4 linked regions of the Arabidopsis thaliana genome follow. The protein of the gene in region 3 binds, or shares a complex with, the protein of the main gene of each other region. Each region holds a gene or a part of one and is shown on either strand. Other genes may lie near its edges.

Region 1 (4,707 bases), on a different chromosome or scaffold from region 3:
AAGTTGTGTATGTACTTTTTCTAACGCTCCCAGATACGTGGTTAGGGCTTTGAAGAGAGCGATCATCAGTATGTCCCTCCTCCTTTTAGCATTGGAGCTTCATCTGACGAGGATACATCATCATCAGGAAGCAGGTTCAAGATGAAGCTGAAGGAGTTTCACAAAACGTAAGAATAAGAGAATGGCTTAGTATGTTTTCCTGAGTAAAAAGCGATATTTGCAATTTTTTGGGACTCACTTGACAAAACTTTGCAGCACTACATCATTCACCGCGTTGGACAAAAACTTTCTGACTCCGTTCTTCACAACTAATAGTGGAGATGGAGATGGAGATGGGGAGTAGCATGGAAAAGATGTGTATTTGTGGTCCAGGCCAAGCTATAATTAGAGTACACATATGTCTATGTAAGATTAACACTGGTTGATTTTACCTCTCGCAAAATGCCCACTATAAAGTTGACGATTTCCAAGACATTTCGAAATATTATATAGATGTATTTATTGTGGTACATACAATTACCATGTCAATAATCTATTACAAGAAGAAACTGAGCTCATGTGTGGGGGTGAACATAAGCATGCTCTCACCAAAATACTCAAAAAGAGGAAAGAGATAGTTGTCGACGTCAGTGCCTGCAGCAGCTGAAGTCTTCGGAGCAATTGTTGAGGGACTATTGTGGTGCCGTGCATCTGCATCTGTGTGGGACTGTTGAGGGACTGTTGTGGTTCCGCGCATCTGCATTTGTGTGGAGCTCATTTGTATAATTCCCCCTACTGCTATCTTCTTCAGTGGTGGTTGATGAGTTAAGTTGTCACTGCTTGCTTTGCGTTTACCTTGGCCGAAGAAAAAAATTATTTAAGAACGCGTATCTCCGTGTTTAGAACGCCAAAAGAAAAAAAAAGAATGAGACCAGATTTTATACTTTGCCTGGGGCTGGTGAGCTTTCCATTTGTCTTCCAGACAGAGCTAGTTGGAGGAGACAGCAGTGTCTCAGATGTTTTAAGCCGTTCATATAGGCATCGACCAGCTGCCACCTATGGAAAGTTAAAGTTTATATGCTCTCCTGCCTGTTTTGCAACACGAGATTGAAAGCAAACAAGTTTTCTAATTTCTGTATCAAACTAGAAAGCATACTCACCATCAACGCTCCATAAACAAGCCAAGCCCCATGCCTCTTAGCTTCTTCCTTCTGCTTCTCAAGTCCCATTTCAGGTAAAAGAAGCAGCAAATACGGCCCTAGGTTTGGGAGAACAAGAAAGCGAACCTAGACAAAGGTATAAAGCAAGAAAATACTTACGGACGACCAAAGGATATATATCTTAAGGTTCAATTGCAGGTTTAATAACTTTATCGAGGATGTCGGATCATGCTACTATTAGTTTTAAACTTATGCTTTCTTATGTAAAAATTCTAGACGCACAACCTAAAGTGCTACTCTTCGTTATGATAATCAAGAAGCATCAAGAGGAAGTACCATATTAAGCCCAAGGGCTACCATCCCTTGAATTGCCCCATAGTGTTGTGGGAGTGCCTTGGTTGGGTCCAAAAAGGTATGAAGCAGTGATCTTGTGACACGTGGCAACAAATTGTGATAAACGTGTCCAAACCTGTAAAAAGTTCACTAATGTGATTGCAAGTTATATGGTTGTATAAGATGCATGAAATCACAAAGCAAGAATGTAACATTAACCTTTTGCACGTTGAAGCAACTGTGCTGGCAGTGAAGTTTCTCAAGTCCCAGTGATTATCAGATGACCTTCTTCCTAAGCGCTTGGCAATAAGGCAAGTGATAATAGACGGCATCAACTGATGCAGCTGAACAGAATACAACAAGTTAAAAGTCAACAGAAGGAGGAGAAGGGAGAAGAGAAACAAAAAAAAACAAAAAAAAAGTGTGCGCACAAAACTTACATATGGCTCAATATGTACATGAGGGTTATGAAGGAGGCTTCTAGCAAGACGCATCAAAGCCAACAAGATTGGATAATTATCCATGTTTTTGACAATCTGGAGAAATTGCAAGCACAAAAAAAGTAGTGAAAATGTGGTCAAGTTAGAATAAAAGTCAAGACTAGAAGTGTTGGATTACAAAGACAAACCTCTTCAGCGATGAAAGAAGTGAAAAAGGGAACTAATGGGTGGAGTCCAGGATCAATTTCCAAGCTGGCGAGTGCTTGTCTAAAGAGGGTGGAGCCAGATTGAGTCAAAGCCCACTCCGTGACTTTGTCAAAGTAAATCTGCATCGAGAGCAAGCAAGGATTATATAGCATTCAAAGAGCGAGGTAAAGACCCAAAAAAAGAAGGGAGTAAAATAACCTGAAGGTCCTTAGAAAGCACCTGTCTAGCAGCCAAGCCATCGTCCTTATATTCCGATCGTTTAAGGTCAGATATGGCTACAAATTGTCATGGAAGAGGGATTAGAAGGAGAAGTAGTAGGTGATGCAAAAGAAGACAAAAGAAATACCTTGGAGAGGAGAATTCTGTGGAATGGAAGGTTGAATACCATCAATTGCCAACCAATGAGAAAACAGATGCATCAGGAGGTGCATTTGGTAGAGGAGCTTCGATAACCTGCACAAGAGACCATGAAGGGAAGCTTAATAACAATAAACAACATTTCACCATCTTCTTCATTCATGGCCAATCAATGAAGCTTACATTCTTGAGCTCGACATCTTTGTCATCGAAGAAGTATAGATCTCTGTTCTCAGGAGCTCTCTTGAACCGCATACTTTTGGAGCCAGAGGTAGGCTATACAAAAAAAAGTCAAAATCAGGGTCAACGGTATGAAATAAAAGAAGAAGAGAGGAAGAGGAAACCTCCAAATTCCTGAAATGAAGAGCAGAATCGACATCATGAGCCATTAAAGTGGTGCGTCGAGCATGACGCATGCATTTGATAGCTTCCTGGAGATTGCGACGACAAGTTAAAGAGGAGATTAGAGGGCAAAAGTAAAGTTGAAGTTGATGATATACCTGCATGACCTCTCGGACGCGATACTCGACATCGGGAGCAAGAGCGGCTGAGACGTCCGGAGAAAGAGTGGAGAGTCCAATGCTCTGAGCTATCACTTCAATGGATTCTTTCGTCACCATCCTCCTTGCGCCTTCTTTCTTTTTCGACTTTGAGCGACTGAGTCGAGTCAGTCGTGTTACATTTTCTCACTCTATCAGGCTTTCTCAAATGGGCCCATCGTTAGATTTATTGGGCTTATGATAAATACTCAGCCGGTTTTGAATTTTTAGCTCATCTCGCGTGTTATTTTTAATCAGAACTTCGTTGCACTCGTATCTGTATCAATCTCTCTATTTACTTGCATCTTCAGTCAACGTCAAGTCTGGTAGATTATATACAAAATGGACACCAAACATGTTTCTTATATGTTTCATGACACCCGTTTGCAGATTTACCTGCTGCTTCTGTCTCTTATGTAATCAATCAGGTTTTGATCAGCTTTCACTTGGCACCTCCTTTTGATTCAATCTACCGTACAAAGAATCTTGGGCATCCACGTCCTCTATTCGCCAGTTACGTTCATTGCTCTTCGGGTCTGCCGTTGAGATTTGTAAGATCTTGTTATGGAATTTCGTTAAAGTCCGGCGGTGGCCAATGCTTATATATGTAATGCCAGCCGACTGGATTTGCTGGTACAGGAACGCCTGGGCATCAAGAGGAATTTTAATGGCTCAACGCTACATGTACATGATATTATTCTAAATGATAGATGAGAGGAGAACCAACAAGTACCTCATTAGCTTCATCCAACGCACTGGTGGATTCATCCAGGAGCGCCAGCTTTGGCTGAGACAGCAATAACCGTGCAAAGGCAAGGCGCTGCTGCTCACCAAGTGAGAGAACACTGGACCACTCGTGTATCGAATCAAGACCACCAAAGCGATCCGCTATATGTCCAAGACAAACCTTCTCTAGAGTCCGCATCAGATCATCTGTTGTCGGCTTTTCATTTCCGTCCTCTCTAATCAGCAGAGGTGGTGAACCTAACAAAATCAACGCATTTTTTCTTCAGTCGATTTGCTTTTGGGTTCTATAATCTGCTTGCATAAACTTAAATGGAGTTGAAAGAAATGGTTGTTACTAGACACAAATTTAAACTGAGTACCGTCAATATTACTGCCACCAGGTGTCGTCTCCTCCACAGTTGCACTCCAGGTAGGATAAAGCAATTGCTGACGCAAAGATCCCAGAACCATATAAGGCCTTTGTGGAAGGAACAATACGTCTCCTCTTTTCCCTGAATTTTCCTGAGTATCAGATTTCTCCTGTGTAAAATCTACCTCAGGATCGAGGTAGAACGTGATTTTTCCTTTCCCTGACCTCCAAAGACCAGCCATTGCTCTTAGCAGCGAAGTTTTTCCACTCCCACTAGGACCCATTATCTGTTAAATGGCATTTTTAAGTAACTTCCAATCTACCAGTCACATGCTTTAAACACAAGTAGTCAAAGTGAACTAACCAGTAGGTGATCCTTGTCATATACATCTGCAGATAAGTTGTGAACCAATGTGGTTCCGTTTGTTGGTGTCTGAAGAGTAAGCTCCTCGATCTCCAGACGCTTTTGGTTCGGTTGGGACTTGATTGAACCATTGGTGTCCAGCAGTGAAGAGTTCATCTCACTCTGATATGTCAGCTCAATCTCGTCCACAGTGTCAGATGGATCTCTGAAGATGTTGTTATCCAAAAGATCA
Region 2 (4,752 bases), on a different chromosome or scaffold from region 3:
AGAGGAAGAACATTCCAGATCACATACCTCTACAAGTGACATATCTATTTTCTCTCCTATCCCGTTTCTGTGGAGGCTCATGGATAGCAAATATCTCGGAGAACTGTAAGATAACCATACCATCTTCCACATACAACGTAGGCAGTGGGGTGGCGCCTTTGTCATCCAATGTACCTTCCAATAACTCATCCACCTCCTCCTGAATGTTTTGATGAGATCACTAACATAACAAAATCATCCCACAGCAAAAATATGTTATTTGAGACACAATTTCCCTTTATTTTGAGGGGAAACTGACCTCCTGGACATCTTCGGTGTCCATATGATCCTCTTTATCCAAGATGCTAGCCTCCTCTTCATACTCCAAGGCCTTGTCTTCCTTTAAGACAACTGCAACGCAATTTTTTTTGTCTTGTTAAGTTTATATTCTCAAGGACTTAAATCACACTAGACTACAGCTTTGCAAGTAATCATTTGCCTGAGCTCAACAAGTATAATTACAGGAAGAATGACTTAACAAAACCAATTTGAGTGATGAGATAACACAACAAAAGTACACTTTACTATGGGATAATTGTTTTGTTCAAGAAACGGAAATTTCGAAATGCAAACCTGGTTCCCTCTTTTCAGTTTCAAGAGATTTTTCAACTGGCGCTTGCTCCTCCTCTTGTTCTTCTTCCTCGTCATAATCTTCATCATCAAACACAGAAGCTCTGGACTTTAAACTACCCAAAGCAACTGCAGTCGAAAAATACTCCTTTTTTGGCAGTAGATGATCTTCCTCACTGACTACTTGAACTTCGGGCCCATCGTACTCTTCATCAATATCCTCATAATCAACAGCATCCTCAGCTTTTCTATCATAATCTACACAACATATCACCACAGTCAATGACGCTGATGACCAGGATTTGGTAGTGTAAATAGTGTCAGTATGTAAATGCTACGGGCAGGAATGTTGCATATTTAAAGATTGTAAACGTGAGTAGTTAAAATGTTTATGCATATAAATTACGCAAGACACTTTCTTAAACAATCCAATAATAATTGGATTATGACTACAACGAAAGTAAGAAGAGTGCAAGACCATTGTGATGGAAACATTCACTGGGAGAAAAACTTTCTAGCAGGTTTCCTAGAAGCTACTCCAGTATGGTTTAAAGAAACGGTAGAATGAAAACTAGAAGTTAAATGAACAATAAAAACTGCATAAGATAGACGACCCTGGCAGACAACATCACCTTGCTCAGCTGGATCACTTGCTGTACGTTCTGATTTTGCCAATAACTGTTGAGTTTAGAAACACCATTATTGGCATCCCAGTACAAGAAAAAGAGGATTAAAAACCACATAAAAGACTCGCAGTTCACTCGTCTATAAACTTTAGAAGATAAAATATTAAAGAGTGTGTAGAACGTTACATTTATATCTGGTAGAGATGAACCCAGCTTATCTGCCAATGCAGAAAGATGTTCTTTGGCGTCCTGAAAAGTTTAAATGTTAGCATTGGCACAGGTATGCTTGGTGGAGAATTTGCAACTCATAGTTAATAAAATACATATATCCTAAGTCCAGAGAGAATAGACAGAAAAACTGAGACCGATAATGAAAATAATGTGTTCAACAAGGTCATCATACTGAAAGCGTAAAACAGATTACCTCATCAAGGTAATCAGCGTCCAAGTCCCCAGAGTTATCAACATTTCCAAAGATGAATCCAAGGTTAAAACCCCTGCTGTTGTCCTCATATTCATCATCGTCATCTGCAGCAGACATGTAAAATATTGGTGTTCACCAAACAAATCTTGGCAGACATGTAAAATATTGGTGTAAAATGGGAATGCATGTGATAACTGATTATCATCACGAGTATTCAGAAATCACAAAGATTGCATGTTAACACTCTTGTTAAACTGCTAAATCCAAGGTCACATAATCATTGGATTCCTCTCCATCATCTTATCAGGCTACAGTAGCCTCCATCTAGTGAAACTACTATTCCCATTCTCTTCGTCATCTAAGATCCTACAAACTCAATTCCCTCTAGAAATTTAGAAAAAATAATCTTAACTATACCCTAGAACATGTCCAGGATCACTCAAGACTGCTCCTTTTCTACTTAAAGAAATCCAAAATATTCAAAACCGTAAATCGGTCATGAGCTAGCCTAAATGCACCAAACACTAGCTAGACAGGGACATCTCTAGTTTCACAAACTGTAGTAATCCAAAATTCCACAACCTAATATTTCCAATCTCTTTGTCAATTAAGATCCTACAAACCAATACTCAGAATCACTCAAGGCTGTTCCTTTTCTACTTAAAGAGACTTAATCCGAAATATTCAAAACCGTAGAACAATCATAAGCTAGACAGGGGCATCTCCAGTTTCAGAAATCATGTCGACAATGGACTGGACCGGAAAAAAGAAAAGCAACAAACTTTGATAAAGAAAGCAACATATATATACCTGAGGAAGTCTCGTTGTGGGAACCCTTGCCATTGGATTCAGCCATATTCAAAGATTTAACTACAATGGTGACAATCGGGAGACGACAAGGCAATTGTCCTTCCCAAATCCCCAACCATTAAAACTCAATCAAAACCTTCAAAAGAAACAAAAAAAACTACACAATTACAAGCCAACCTAAACGGACCTGGAAACAAAAAAAGCTAACTTCTTTATCTGAAACTTCATCAAAAGAGTCTCAATTTGGCTTTAAAATCACAACCAAATCGAAACCCCATTGATCAATTTTCGAGTTAAGCTGAGTTGCAATCAAAGCATTGGATAAAATTGAAGAAGACGATACGATACCATTCACTGATACGAGATTGTTGGATTGGAGGGTTCTTTCTTGAAACCCTAATTGAGGGTACAAGTAAGCTTCGCCGGAAAGGTAAACCAGCTCAATCGGACGAGACGGTACGATGTCGGAGAGAAGTTCCGAGGTAAGCAAACTCTCAAATCGGAGGAAAAAAAAAAGTAATAACAAAAAAAAGAAGAAAATTGCGAAGCGACCAAGACAAGATTGTGAGGGCATTTATAAAAGTTTTATAACCCGACCCGAATAAAGTTTGAGTCCGGGTCTAATTTCTTAACCAGGAAAAATCAATTTCGTTGTTTGGTATGGAGGTGGTTAAGCAGAAATAGAGTCGGTTCTGAAGTAATTTTTGTTGTTGTTTAATCAGTGGTAATTTTACGAATTTAATAGATATATACCTATGATATTTCTTTAAAATATCTTTCTACCAAAATTGCAAAAGAAAATTGAATTTTAAAAGTATTATAAAAACATAACTGTTATAGTTCTACATTTAAATTTTCAATTTTTAATAATATTTTAATCACTTTAATTTTATTTTTTCGATCGACTAACATTCTAATATCCAAATTTAAGGCACACAAGTTTAATTGATAGTTTTATTTTTTTCATCGAATAACATCGGATGTGAAACTCTTTATTGCATACCTTGTACATATATAAAAATCAATAACATGTTGATTTTAATTATATAAAAAAATTTAATATTAAATAAAACCAGATTGAATAAAAATGGATATTAAGAAAATATATAGGTTCTTTTATTTTATGGACCACTGCGTCGGTAACTATGACGAAGTAAAACGGCAGTAGCCGTTAAAAAAAATAAAGTAAAATGATCCATATAGACAGATCGGAGATGTCGCTGAAAAAATAGAAGTGTCGTTGGAAAAAATAGAGATATTGATCTAACAACGTAGGAGTCGTGAAAAATATAGCGGCCTAAATGAACATAATCCAGCTTTTCTTCCATTGTCAGTTTTGAACAACCAGCAACGAATTTTATAATAAATTATGCCATTTATTTCTCATTTCGTTCTTTAATTTTTAGTCATCAAATTTAATCGCAACGACCAATACAAGAAGAACATGGTATAATCATACCAAATCATTGATTCAATATTACCTTATTAGATTTTATAAAATTCATTATCCATTCAACAATTGTACCTCAACATTTTCAAATGTACCTCAACAAGCAATTTTTTCTTTATTTAGTTTAACCTAAACAAGGAATTTATTTTTATTTTTACCATAACCATCATGAACTTTGTTGACTTGTTAAATGTCTCTATCTCCTTCTAACGAAATTATCAAAATCAATTTCTGTTCCTTATACTCCAACCAAATAGTGGTCCTGATTCTAAATCCTAGTTCTAAAATTAAGCCTTGTATTTTCTCTTTTTTATTAACGTAAAATCAAACAAAACAAATATCTCAAATATTTTGTTAAGAAAAAAGAATTCTTTATTCAACGAAAAATATGGATTAAAAAGAACACCAAAGCCACGTGCATTGTCACTTCCCAACTTTAGAAAAATTGTATTTATATAAACAAGTTTTATCTAATTAGCAGTTTTATGTTATTTTGTCTTTAATCTCACTTCACCGTCTCTCTTTCACTCAATCTCCGTGATTCATTTTTTCTCCGACGTTGCTTAATCCTCGAAATCTCCGGCGATGGGTGGTTGCGTCTCCTCCAACCTCCTTACTCCGACCGATGACAGCAGCTTCTCTCACCTCACCAGCTCCTCCTTAAGCCAACATTTCGTCAAGCTAACTTCCACCACTTACGGTCTTCTCAATCTCGACTCTTCTTCACCTTCTCCTCCGTCTCCTTCCTCCTCCTCCTCCGCCAAATCCGTTATCACGCCAATGACTCCGCCTGAGAGATTCACTATCAACGGTAAGGAGGCGGCGATGATGAT
Region 3 (7,526 bases):
TTGCAACAATACCCTTTCATGTTGTCCATTTTTAAAAATATCTCTCCCCTTGAACAAAATGACCAAATTACCCTCATCTAATAAAAACATGTAATTGGAAACTGAAATTTTCCCGCCAATTTTTTGGCGCCAAAATATTTTTTTTCCCGCCAAAAAAAAGTTTCCGCCAAACTTTTTTCCAACCAAAAAAAAAAATTCCCGCCAACAAAAAAATTTCCCGCCAAATTTTTTTTTCGTAAAAAATTTTTCCTCAGCCAAAAAAAATATTTTAAAAATCCTTGTAAATATTTTTTAGCGCCAAATAGATTTACAAGGGATTTTAAAAGGATTTTAAAAGATTTACAAGAGATTTTTAAAAAGTTTTAAAAAATTTACAAGAGATTTTAAAAGAGTTTTAAAAGATTTACAAGAGATTTTAAAAGAGTTTTAAAAGATTTACAAGTAATTTTAAAAGGTTTTAAAATCCCTTGTAAATCTTTCAAAACACTTTTAAACCCTTTAAAAATCTTTACAAATCCTATGTAAATATTTTAAAACCCTTTAAAATCCCTTGTAAATATTGTAAAACCCTTTTAAAATCCCTTGTAAATATTTTAAAATCCTTTTAAAACAATTTTAAACCCTTTAAAAATCTTTAAAAGACCTTTGTAAATCTTTTAAATCCCTTTAAAATCTCTTGTAAATCTTTTAAAACCCTTTTAAAAATCCCTTGTAAATCTTTTAAAAACCTTTTAAAATCCCTTGTAAATTACCCTTTTAAAATCCCTTGTAAATCTTATAAAACCCCTTTAAATTGCCTTGTAAATCTTTTAAAACTCTTTTAAAATTCCTTGTAAATCTATTTCCCGCCAAAAAAAAAAATTGACGGGAAAAATATTTTTGAAAACAAAATTTGGCGGGAAATGTTTTTCAAAAATTTTTGGTGGGAATTTTTTTCGAAAAGGTTTGGCGGGAAAATTTTGGCGGGAAATTTATTTTAGAATATTTTAGGCGAAAAAATATTAATATTTCATTTTGTTAACCTAAAACAATTTCCAAATAAGGGTAAAATGGTAATTAAAAATTTAAAGAGAATATAAATAAAAATGGATAAAACAAAAGGGTAGAGTTGAAAAGGGGCATCATGAAAAGGGCATTTGAAAGAATTTTTCTTGATTATTTGATATCCAAAATTTTATAATATATTTTTAGAAAACGAGTTAACCATTGTGGGAGGAAATAACTGACCTTGTCTTATATACAATAAATTGTTGCAAGTGTTTAGTTTAACCATTGTAACATTTGATTTAAGAATTATTGTTTAAATATTTTTAAACTGGGTGTTTTGGAAAGTTATTTTTTTTTTTAAATAAAAGTTAGAAATTTTGAGAAGATAACATTTTTTTGGATAATTTTCAATAATTCTGTAAGAATTAATTACTCAAACAATAAATATTGGTATCTTGTCCCAATCTTTAAGTTGAAATAGAGAATCCAAAGCAAGTAATTTAAAAAGAAAATGGTTATGAGATTTTACATCAAAGTAAGGTCATGGGCTTATAATTCAAAAACTCTTAGTAAATTTTGAATCTGGGCATTTGCCCAACCTGCCACCCCCATAGACGGGCCTGGTTTTAATCATAACTTTGAAATTATTATATTTGGGCCACAATTAGGCCATTGAAACAGGCCCAGTTTTGTAGAGACACGGAATCTAAAAAACTGAAGATGTTTCAGCGACGAGATACAAGTTTCTAGGAGAGGAAATTGAATCGAGAGAGAGAGAGAGAGACAACAATGGATCCAGAGCAAATCAACGAGTTCGTCGTGGGCTACTTGAAGAAGAAAGGATTCAGTAGCGCTGCTAAAGACCTTGAATCTTATCATCACCAGAACAATAATGGTAGCTCCTTCACTTCTGTCGATTATCATAACGATCCTGAGCTCACGAAGCTCATTCGCTCCTTTTCTCAGTAATCTCTCTCCCTATCTCTCTCTCTCGTTTCAATTCTTAATGCGAATTGTGTTTTGAATTTTTGGGAAAGTTTTAGTGTCTTTTGTGAATTTTGAAAACCGTAAGGAAAAATTATGTAAGCTCCAACGTTTTTGAGAATCTAAAAATGAATATAATTCACTTTCTGGGTGAAGTTTATGTGAATATTTCTATCAGTTTATCTGTCAAATTTAAGATTTTGATGACATCTCAGTGGCAAGAAATTAGGTTTTTTTGTATGGCTTATGTAGAGAGAGCTAATGGTAATGAAATGTCTGTTCTTTTGTTTGCAGACAAGAAGATGATCCAACTCGGTACCGTGAAGGTTACAGCAAACTAAGGTCATGGGCGTATAATTCTCTGGATTTATATAAGGTGGGGATTTTTTTTTGTGTATCCCTTGGCTGTTTTGGGTAGAGACAGGCTTAATTGAACTGACGAGATGATTCTAATTTTGTAGCATGAATTGCTTCGAGTGATGTATCCTGTGTTTATTCATTGTTACATGGATCTGGTGGGGAAAGGGCACACTCAAGAAGGTACTTGTCAATATAGCAAATTAGATGTACTGAGTATTTTTTTTACCTTCGGTATAAGATTTTTGGAAACAGTGACTTATGCTACTGTGGGAAATAATACGTCTCTTGTATTCCAGCTAGAGCCTTCTTTAACAGCTTCCGCAAAGATCATGAGATGGTACACTTACGGGATCTTCAGAAGCTTGAAGGCGTGCTTTCTCCATCTCATCTAGAGGTTTATGATAAACCTTATATGGTCATATAATATTGATAATGGATTTTTTTTTTTTTTTTTTTGGTTATTATCTTTCTTATGATCTTGGTTCTTATCAGGAGATGGAGTTTGCTCGTTCTCTTAGAAAAAGCAAGGTTAACATCAAGTTTTGTCAGGTAGACTTGAGTGAAAATTGACTAGTAGCTGTAATAGGCAACTGCTTCGAGGTTTCTGGTCTGATTAACTGAATTCCGTGACTGCAGACCTCTAATATGCTTACTGAATGTTGCAGTATTCATATGAGCTGTTACTTCAGTATCTACATAGTACAGTATCGACTTTAATGCTTGGTATTATTAACGAGCACATCAATTTCCAAGGTAAATGTGTTTCTTTCTCTTATATATGCGATAGCTTGTAGCAGTTTTTTGAGTAGAAAATTGAATCAATTGGTCATGGATAATTTGTTGCAGTCTACTCGGGACAGCCTACTTCCTCATCCGATGACATAGAAGCTGTCACCATTGTCGGGAGTTTTCAGGACACTGCTAATCACATTAATCAAAAAGAAATACAGTGGGGAGTACGTATTTCCCCTAAAGTTTCTTTTCTCTTCTATTTTTCCAGAGTTATAACATGTTGATGCCTCATCCCAGGGATGATAACATATTTGCGTAGTTAATAGCTACATATGCATTTTTCTTTTACAGTTGCTTGAAGATTCACTAGAAGATCGCCTTGAGAAGACAGGAGGTCTGCTGTCTGATTCTGAGAAGGGACAAGGAGAAAGTAAAGACGGGGATGCAGATGATAGTAAGGTGATACATAGCTTCAACTTAGTCAATAATTTCTGAACTGAAATCCCGTTTTTACTCGTCAATTGATTCTGTGTACAGAAAAGATCCACTGAAATTGGAAAGCAAGGCTCTTCCTTAAAAAAGTTGAAGAAGGACAAAGCGGGTAATGCAACAGCAAAAGTTGCACGTCTGGAGACCATTACGGTGTCACCGGCGCCGCGTGTAAAACCAGAACTTGCCTTGCCAGTAATGTACTTTCGAATCCCTTACCCATTTTTTGTGTTGGGATTTGATTAAAAAGGAATGAACATGTGATATCTATGGGTGATGCATGATTGTTTAGGAGAAATGAACATAGTCTTTGTATTTGTCAAAGACTCAACCTCCTTTAACATAAATCAATTTTGCTCCATCTCCTTGTTTTCTCTGTCAGGTCCACAGATGTAGAGCAATCCATCCTTGAAGACCTTAGAAACCGTGTGCAGTTGAGTAGTGTTGCAATGCCATCAGTCAGCTTTTATACATTTGTGAATACTCATAACGGGTAATGTCCACCTCTCCTCCTAATTTTAACTACTTATTTGCAACCTTGTTACTCACTCTTTTATTCTCCCCCAGGTTAAACTGTTCATCTATATCTCATGATGGATCTCTGGTTGCTGGTGGGTTCTCAGATTCTTCAATAAAGGTATGTTATTCTCGGATGGTTGGATACATTTCCCTTTTTTTGTTTTCTTCCTCTCTTAAATGATGCCAAGTGACAATTATGGTGTTCAGGTCTGGGACATGGCTAAGATAGGACAAGCTGGCAGTGGTATGTTAATTCTCTGAAAAATTGTATTGACATCCACGTTTAAGAATGATATTTATCTCATACGTTTCGCTTGTCATTTTTGTTGATTTCTCATAATGATTGTTTTTGTTTCCATGAGAGTTATAGACACTAAGCTGTCTGGTTCCAGGTGCTTTGCAGGCTGAAAATGATTCAAGTGATCAAAGCATAGGACCAAATGGCAGAAGAAGTTATACATTATTACTGGGTCATTCAGGGCCAGTTTACTCAGCCACTTTCAGTCCCCCTGGAGATTTTGTTCTATCTTCTTCAGCAGATACAACAAGTATGTATCTGTCCATCACTTTACAAATCCATACACTGGCTCATTAGTTCAGACTTTTTTAGTTACCAACCCTGTATTCATAAGTGCAGTACGACTGTGGAGCACAAAACTAAATGCTAATCTCGTGTGCTACAAGGGTCATAATTACCCTGTATGGGATGCCCAGGTATAGTTAATTCAATTTAACCCATGTTTCTTACATAACCTGCAATTTATGGTGGCTGGACATGTATATATATTATATACTCATTTTATGGTGCAGTTTAGCCCTTTCGGTCATTACTTTGCAAGCTGTTCTCATGATCGTACTGCACGGATTTGGTCAATGGACCGAATACAACCTCTTCGGATAATGGCAGGGCATCTATCTGATGTTGATGTGAGTGTCTCCCTCATCTTCATTGTTTGGGTTTAATTTGCAAAGGTTAAATCGAAGGGACCAATTGAGTTGTTAATTAAATGCATGGATAAATTTCTTAAAACGTTTTATTATGCAATTGAAGTCATTAATTCACCGTATCAATGTTTACAATGGTTTATCTAACATTTTACATTGTTTATTGACTTAGATTAGTACCCACTTGTTATTTTAACGTGACCCTGACATTCATAATTTAAGAATCGTCCAGTTTATAGTTGATCCAAAGATTGTTAGCCAATACGCTTAAAGTCATAAGGTTACGATGGATTACTTAACTATTTGGATTGACATTAAGTCAGATCAGTAACTTCAATTTTTCTTTGGATACCTATTGATGCGACTTTCGTTGTACTTGTCAAATGCATTTGATTTCAGTGTGTACAGTGGCATCCCAATTGTAACTACATTGCTACCGGTAGTAGTGATAAGACGGTTAGACTCTGGGATGTGCAAACTGGAGAATGTGTCCGGATATTCATTGGGCACAGGAGTATGGTTTTATCATTGGCGATGTCTCCAGATGGGAGATATATGGCTTCCGGTGATGAAGATGGCACTATAATGATGTGGGACCTCTCAACTGCTCGCTGCATCACTCCTCTCATGGGCCATAATTCATGTGTCTGGAGTCTCTCATACAGGTGAGGTGTCAAGAGAAGAAGAAAATAGCTTTATTTGATCATTCAACTTTTATTGAGTTAGTAATACACAATGAAAACGTAATATGATCCTTTTTTCAGCCAACTATTGGTTTTGGTTGATATGCTTTATCATCTCTGGAATTTCTTCTAGGACAACATTTTTTAAAGGGTAGTTCAGGGTTATGATATAGAGTGGTATGGTGTGGCTATTTCTATTAATTCTACAGTGACTTACTACTGAACTGGTAGATTTTTCTATATCCACGCACTCTTGTGTTAGCTCTAACATAGGGTTCTTGTCATGGGTTGTGGAATGTTGTATAGGCCTAATGTGTTGGGTCGTTAATGGAATGACTGGTTTTGGTTGGTAAAATCCACTTGCTTGGAATATTGGAACCGTAAACTCCACTTTGATAAATCATAGAACTACTACAATTTATGACTAACCTGTTTTCCTGTTTCAGCGGGGAGGGCTCTCTTCTGGCTTCTGGATCCGCAGACTGCACAGTGAAACTGTGGGACGTCACTTCAAGTACCAAATTGACAAAGGCCGAGGAAAAGTGAGTTTGCTCTTTCAAGTTGTATTGTTGTTCCCTTTGAATGGTAGATTGTTTTGTTAAAAACGATTTATCATTTGTGATTGATCAGGAATGGAAACTCGAACAGATTGCGCTCACTCAGGACTTTCCCCACCAAGTCCACACCAGTTCACGCTCTCCGGGTAAGTTATGCTTTCTTTACTAGAATTAATTCCACCATTCTCTAAACACCGTGGTATTTCTCTCATCCCTAAGTTTATCATGTTGTGCTTGTGATCAACACATCCCGATAATGAGTGACCAAACACTTGATTAGAACCAAAGTTTCAGGGTGTGTGCCAAACAGATTTTATCCATCAGTATCATATAGAACCTTTCCTCTAACACCTAGGATTCGTTGATCGAGGCATACACTAAAACTCATGTTTTACATTGATGCAGTTTTCTCGGAGAAATTTGTTGTTTGCTGCAGGAGCGATCTCTAAACCCGCAAACTGATCAAAACAATGGTATCAGATATTGATGCTTTAACATTCTTACAAGCTGTTGTAGATCTCAGAAGAAATCAGGTGTAGAATAGTTATCTCCAAAGATTATTTGCTTGTGGCTTTTGTTTCTCATTTCTAAATCCCAAAAATGTTGAAGATTCTTTTAATGAACAACTACTCCTGCTTATGTATGCCATGTGTCCCAATCCAGGAATCACTTATCTTCGACTTGGAGCAGATTTACTTTAAGCATGTCAAAGCCACATTCTTCCTTCTAATAAACACCCTAGTTTAAGCATGTCACCTCTATCATGAATCAAAACCTACTCGAAATGAATAAGGCAAAGAACAACAACCAAATATTCTCAAAATTTATAACGTTAATAAAATAGAAACATGTAATGAATCTCCCCAAAAAGACATCGTGTGTCGAGAGAAATCTTTCTTAAGACAGGGTGGGTGGTTATGTGGTATGTTGTGAATTATGTTTTTTCTTAGAGAACATATTTTTTAGAAACTTTTCAGATACTAACATATTTTTTATTTTGTGAAAACATTTAATTCTCCTAATTTCTAGAGACGGTACTTAAATAAATAGAGAGCTGACGACAAAAATAAAATAAAATTGAGAGCTGAAGAAGAAAAGAAAGAAAAAAACATGTTTTGAAAGACATTTGCATCAAAATTTTGGATGAGACATAAAATCTACCAAAAGTAGATTTGGTTGTGTGACTAGACAATTGTCTACATTTGGAATTATATGTGGGAATGTGGTACTCGTTATCTTCTTATATGAGATCTCTCCCGGTCAGTTTTCT
Region 4 (5,152 bases), on a different chromosome or scaffold from region 3:
TGCGAGAAGAAATTGGACAGAGACTTTACATATTACAGACAAAAAGTCGGCATATAGAATCATTCCAGACAACGTTTATGGTCCTGTATACATATAAGGAGAATGTGCTCAGAAACCACAAGTACCTATGTCATATAAAAAACTTGAAACTTACCTTAACTTTTCAGCCTCAAAACATTTAAAACAAAACCGACTCTGAAAGAAAGACAGAAACAGAGAGAGACAGAGAGAGTGTGTACGAGGTGACACTCGAAACCGGGAAGTAGTGGCTGGAAGAAATGCGGATTGGTCGGAGACTGAAGTGGAGGATTCACCATTTCAAACAATTCAGGAGGAAAAAAACTCAAGAATCTTCAACTTTCTTTGTGATGAAAAAACCAATGTGTTCTTGTCTTCAATGTAGCGTTGTAAAAGCTGACGAAAGGTTACTAGATTTTTCAGATTGTTGTCTTCTTTCATGTATTTCTAGGTAAAGAATATTCGGACATGAGAAAGTGAAAAAACAAAACAGAACAGCTTTTTTCAATTGCTAAATTCCAAAAAGTAACTTTATTATTGAGATGCCGCGGTTACAAAGGGGGATTGTCTAAAGGTATACAACAGAGTGTGGCAATGTTTCAAGTTAGATCAGAAGCACTTAGGTTCATCATTGCTAGATGGAAAATATACTTTGTGGTTTTTCAATCCTACAGTATCCAGTTAATCACAAGGATGGATACTTATCTTATTTTCACGACTTGGAGACTTGCAAGAATGGTGGATAAGTGATGTAGAACCCCAAAAATCACCAGAGAACAAACAACAAACGAATATACATGTAATGTAGTAATTGAGGACTAGCAAGACAAGTGAGTTTTGTTTTTAACTGAAACACAACAGAGAATCAGGGATCTGAGACACATGACCGTCCTTACTAGGCAAAGATTTTGAGGAATTCCTGGTTTCTATTCGTCCCTTGTTGCAGGGTCCATTCCAGTCGAAGGGCTATCAGCAAAATATTCTGGATGCTTCACGTTCACACCATACTGCCAAACCGAGTTTACTCACGAGTTAGCTTCCCACTACTAGTTAAGACGAGACTGTAAAACCTTACCTATCTACCTACACTACTGCAATACACAATATTATAACCACTAACTCTAAAACATGTTTCTAAGCATTTTATGTTGATTCTGTGATACTGAATTAGTTTCATGCCATGTGTATTTAGAGTAATTTGCAGCTTAAGTAAAAAAAAACAAGAGACATCTACATTTTCTTCTCATACATTGGAGGTCTGAGGGACAACAATACCAGAAGCATGAACTTAGAGGAAGAAGCATTTACCTCACGCAAAGCTTTTGAAAGATCTTCCATTGTCAATACCAAACGCTTATCCTGTTAAGGAAACATTAATATTCATGTCATCATCCAAAACATATTTGTTGCAGTCTTGCAGAGGGAAAAAAAACAAAAGGGAGTCAGATGTTACCTTTTGCTGTTTTTTGTCTTTCACAACTGGTGCTGGTCTAGCCTTGCAATGCCTGTATATAATTGACAATTTTTATTATTCAGGAGCTTATATCAATGCTTTTAGCTTCTGGGAAAATCTAGCGTAGACATCTTTTCATCTCATCTACTCAGAATGGGCAGTGTCTTCTCTTTCTCAATTACAAGTCAAATATGAAAAAGGGTATGATAATTCGTTGTGAAGAGAATGAAAACTTACTGAAGGGCGTCACTGGCAACATCTGCAACAAACTTTTGTGTAGCCACAGCAACTAGCCTTATCCTGTCAAACAAGTAAACAAAAAAACAGAATATTGGCAAGAATAGATACAGGAAAAGATTATGACAGGAGTGAAAAACTCAAAAACTAAAATATACCAATATTCAGCACTCAATTTGATAGAAAGAGAAGAATCCCCTCATTATTCTACGCATTCAAACTGAACTCTGAAGTTTACATTCAAATTGCCAATCTTTTTCAGTGCTAGTCCAACATAGACTTCTTTATCATACCATTTTACAGGAATGTTAAACAGGGCAAAACCTTAATCCAAAATGATTTAAACCAAGCCATTGATCTAACTACTGGTCACCCATTCTAAGACCCAACAATGATTCCATTCAATATCAACTTATCTGCTCTTTCATTGTAAGTATCAGATATAACTTGTCGGAAATACCTACAATCGTACGTCGGGGCACTGAAATCCACTCTTAGCCAAGTAGTGCTCCACTAAATCATCAGGAATCTGAAAGAAAAATAAAAATCCAGAACTCAATCAATACCCAAATTTCAGTCATGTAGAGCCGAGAAAAAGTTGTAACTAGTACAAAGGAAAGTATACAGTAGGAGTATAATCCATCAGAGAAGCAAGGAACTCTGTAAGAGCAGCATCATCTTCATGCTTTGCCTCACCAGATTGTTGGCCGTGATTCATCTCTCCCACCACCAGAGTACTGAAGCGAAGCAACAACTGTAAGTAAAGAAAGGTTTTCAAAATCAAACATTAATAAAGAACCTCTGAACTAGTATCTACCTCAAATTAGAAACTTGTACGAAACCTAAGAAAGAATGTCATGACTCATGACACAATTATACCAAAATAAGTTTTACGAGAATTTTGACTACTGAAACTTTCCAGCTCAATTTACTAATTCTCTGTTCCAGATTTGTCTTCTCGTATGACATTATTGTTTCTAAGTAACGAACTATTCCTGATTTGTGTTGCAAAAGACCACACCAAGTTTTGAATTGAACGACGTGAAGTAAACTAAGAGGGCTCTGATTCATCAAGAAACAGCATTCATGAGCAAAATTCGATACCACCCAAGAGAAAATTCAACCGAAAAAAAGACAAAATTGAGCTGAAATTGAAACCAGAGACATAGAGGAAAAATTCAATAAAGTAAGCGATAATGCGAACCTAAACGAAGCAGCAACGGAAGAGAATTGAGCTGAGACGAGGCAAATCAATGGTAAAGAAGAGAAGTTTCGACGGATTTCGGGCGGGTAGAAGAAAGGATCGGAGATCGACTAGTGAGTCTCCGTTGAAACCCTAATCCTCCGACTGGTCCAACTCAGAGCCATCTCCGCCGGTCAGATTTTTAAGAGTTGAGAAAGAATCGTTAGATAGACTAATGGGCCTATTGATTTAAACTATGGCCCAAACTTAAGGAAGTATTCTTCACATATGGCCCAAATTTAGGTTTTTTTTTTTCCTTTTTCACAATCCATTTTTTATTCTCTTCCCATAAAATCAATATTTGAGTTTAGTGTATCTAAGAATATCGAAACGAAATTGTCAATCAATAAAATCTCAAAAATGTAACTTTAGTGTATAGTGTTGTACAATCTGCTGTATAGTGAGCTTTAATTTGATGGGAGACAAAGAATATGACAATGAAAGCACTAACTCCATCTAGACGGAATATTTAATGACCAACAAAAGCAGTTTTTGTTTTTCTCATTTGTCAACTCATAGTCATTAGAAAAAGACTTAAGGGTAGTTTTATATATTCTACGAGAAGCAGGTGGTAAATTCAGTGAAGAAGGATTGGACTAATTCTCTCCATAAAAACATAAAAGAGAGATATGTATATGATGATACTTTATTTCACGGGATTCCATTTGTTTGTTTGTTTTTGGTTAATGGTGGATTCCATTTGTAGGTAAATTAATGGATAAATACCAGATAAATAAATCCATATTTTCTCAAATATGCTTCTTAGACGCTACGTATTATGTATTTACATTTAAATCATTTTCCAAAAGCTTTTTTTTTTTTGTATAAAACCAAAATAAGAGACAGTTTATTCAAGAAGCTAGTTTACCTAGTTATATCAAAGGGGCCAATCAGAATCTAATGTAAACTATATCCAAGTCTCATTGTCATGGAAAAAGGTTTGATTTAATTTGACGATTTTTAAAAAACGGTTGTTCAATCGCGGCATAGGAATATTTTTGGCTATAGGCTAGGACAAGCTATATGGATTGATTTGAACTTTCTCTTTAATTCTTTTCATCAAATTATGGAATATTATATTAAAACCTAGATATTTTAAAGAAAAAGAAAAATTGTATGCAAAAATTTAATTTACTTTTGGAATACGGATTCTAAATTTTTTTGTTGTTTAAAATAGTAAAGAAAAATAAAATATATCAATGAAATCAGGAAGAGGCAAAACATGGTGGCCAATCAAATCGGTTTACTTCAGGCGATCGACGAGCATTTCTAACGAAGCAATGTTCATGTGATCTCAATGGAATATCGACTGTTGTCAATGTGATCGTAACCATACTTTTAAGTTCTGCACTGTATTCTAATTTCTACACAACTATGTTATCTCAATTTTTAACTACTTCCTTCATTATTTACCTCCAGCAAGTGAAAATTAAAAGACCGATAGACAAACAAAAATACATAATCTAGTAAAACAAGTACTAAAAATCTAACATGGTAGAAGAGAAATTGTGTATGTAGGTTCTTTGCAAATAAATCGTGTGTATACTGTATAGACTGATAGACTATTCCTTGTTTGGGGAAAAATGGCTATACACTTATAATATTTTAGAAGTGTCACAAAATAGAAAACTATTTTAAAAAGTAACTTTCTTGGATCGAAAAAATAATAATATGATATATGGTAGGGAAATTTTTACTAATTTTATTAAATTTAATAGGAAGTATCATAAGCACCCATATAGATATGCATAAGTTTGAAACAGAAAATTTGTAGGTACGGTTAGTCGGCTATAAGAGTGGCTTCAATTTGCTTGATGGATTTTTTGTTTTGATAAAATGGTTTGTAGATGGACTTTATTAATTTCAAACATACATTACACTAGTTAAGATAACACCACTTAATCAAGTAATATTTGTATAATTGTAGTTAACTGAAAGTCGTGACTCATGTGTTGTTGTAGGGTTGATTACTACTTTGGCTTTAGATTTCCTCTTTTTTAATCGTACTTTAGAAAATTTGTGGTGCATAATTAAGAAAATTTGTAGTGCATAGTTCCTTATCTAGAAGAAGAGAAGTTTGTACGTCACCAAACACCCCCCAAAAACTCAAGTTGCGAATATGTTCGTTTGCTTAATTAAATATATGTTTTCTCCCATCCAATTTAATATCATATTTTTGTCGCTAATCTTCAATTAACTAG

The links.
Region 1: TAF5 (region 3) and TAF6B share a complex: the UniProt entries of both Arabidopsis thaliana proteins name them as parts of the TFIID complex.
Region 2: TAF5 (region 3) and HAF01 share a complex: the UniProt entries of both Arabidopsis thaliana proteins name them as parts of the TFIID complex.
Region 4: TAF5 (region 3) and TAFII15 share a complex: the UniProt entries of both Arabidopsis thaliana proteins name them as parts of the TFIID complex.

What each region holds. Positions count from the first base shown.
Region 1 is NC_003070.9:20,288,989-20,293,695, reverse strand, and holds TAF6B (TBP-ASSOCIATED FACTOR 6B), read right to left. Parts: upstream 3,097-4,707; coding exon 2,977-3,096; coding exon of another isoform or gene 2,908-2,976; coding exon 2,660-2,907; intron 2,573-2,659; coding exon 2,466-2,572; intron 2,395-2,465; coding exon 2,318-2,394; intron 2,239-2,317; coding exon 2,101-2,238; intron 2,009-2,100; coding exon 1,913-2,008; intron 1,817-1,912; coding exon 1,692-1,816; intron 1,609-1,691; coding exon 1,476-1,608; intron 1,266-1,475; coding exon 1,140-1,265; intron 1,036-1,139; coding exon 924-1,035; intron 835-923; coding exon 536-834; downstream 1-535. Other genes in the region: NHX5 (sodium hydrogen exchanger 5), read left to right, coding at 46-167, 256-343; ABCD2 (ABC transporter family protein), read right to left, coding at 3,451-3,660, 3,749-3,999, 4,122-4,398, 4,476-4,707. UniProt on the Arabidopsis thaliana protein: TAFs are components of the transcription factor IID (TFIID) complex that is essential for mediating regulation of RNA polymerase transcription. Not redundant with TAF6.
Region 2 is NC_003070.9:11,853,747-11,858,498, forward strand, and holds the start of HAF01 (HAC13 protein (HAC13)), read right to left. Parts: upstream 3,020-4,752; 5' UTR 2,818-3,019; intron 2,606-2,817; 5' UTR 2,516-2,605; coding exon 2,470-2,515; intron 1,764-2,469; coding exon 1,660-1,763; intron 1,485-1,659; coding exon 1,422-1,484; intron 1,288-1,421; coding exon 1,242-1,287; intron 868-1,241; coding exon 613-867; intron 391-612; coding exon 299-390; intron 200-298; coding exon 28-199; intron 1-27. Other genes in the region: AT1G32760 (Glutaredoxin family protein), read left to right, coding at 4,505-4,752. UniProt on the Arabidopsis thaliana protein: TAFs are components of the transcription factor IID (TFIID) complex that is essential for mediating regulation of RNA polymerase transcription. Core scaffold of the TFIID complex.
Region 3 is NC_003076.8:8,675,341-8,682,866, forward strand, and holds TAF5 (TBP-associated factor 5), read left to right. Parts: upstream 1-1,708; 5' UTR 1,709-1,776; coding exon 1,777-1,952; intron 1,953-2,265; coding exon 2,266-2,347; intron 2,348-2,432; coding exon 2,433-2,511; intron 2,512-2,627; coding exon 2,628-2,725; intron 2,726-2,823; coding exon 2,824-2,880; intron 2,881-2,996; coding exon 2,997-3,084; intron 3,085-3,177; coding exon 3,178-3,287; intron 3,288-3,414; coding exon 3,415-3,522; intron 3,523-3,600; coding exon 3,601-3,752; intron 3,753-3,934; coding exon 3,935-4,045; intron 4,046-4,119; coding exon 4,120-4,189; intron 4,190-4,278; coding exon 4,279-4,315; intron 4,316-4,463; coding exon 4,464-4,619; intron 4,620-4,708; coding exon 4,709-4,785; intron 4,786-4,881; coding exon 4,882-4,998; intron 4,999-5,415; coding exon 5,416-5,681; intron 5,682-6,145; coding exon 6,146-6,241; intron 6,242-6,329; coding exon 6,330-6,402; coding exon of another isoform or gene 6,403-6,447; exon of another isoform or gene 6,448-6,661; coding exon 6,662-6,718; and 2 more. UniProt on the Arabidopsis thaliana protein: TAFs are components of the transcription factor IID (TFIID) complex that is essential for mediating regulation of RNA polymerase transcription.
Region 4 is NC_003075.7:15,353,279-15,358,430, forward strand, and holds TAFII15 (TBP-associated factor II 15), read right to left. Parts: upstream 3,154-5,152; 5' UTR 2,913-3,153; intron 2,893-2,912; exon of another isoform or gene 2,526-2,892; intron 2,463-2,525; exon of another isoform or gene 2,446-2,462; 5' UTR 2,427-2,445; coding exon 2,334-2,426; intron 2,238-2,333; coding exon 2,173-2,237; intron 1,772-2,172; coding exon 1,709-1,771; intron 1,524-1,708; coding exon 1,472-1,523; intron 1,378-1,471; coding exon 1,327-1,377; intron 1,026-1,326; coding exon 945-1,025; 3' UTR 769-944; coding exon of another isoform or gene 693-768; 3' UTR 642-692; coding exon of another isoform or gene 561-641; 3' UTR 518-560; downstream 1-517. Other genes in the region: AT4G31715 (uncharacterized protein), read left to right, coding at 381-424, 561-641, 693-768. UniProt on the Arabidopsis thaliana protein: TAFs are components of the transcription factor IID (TFIID) complex that is essential for mediating regulation of RNA polymerase transcription.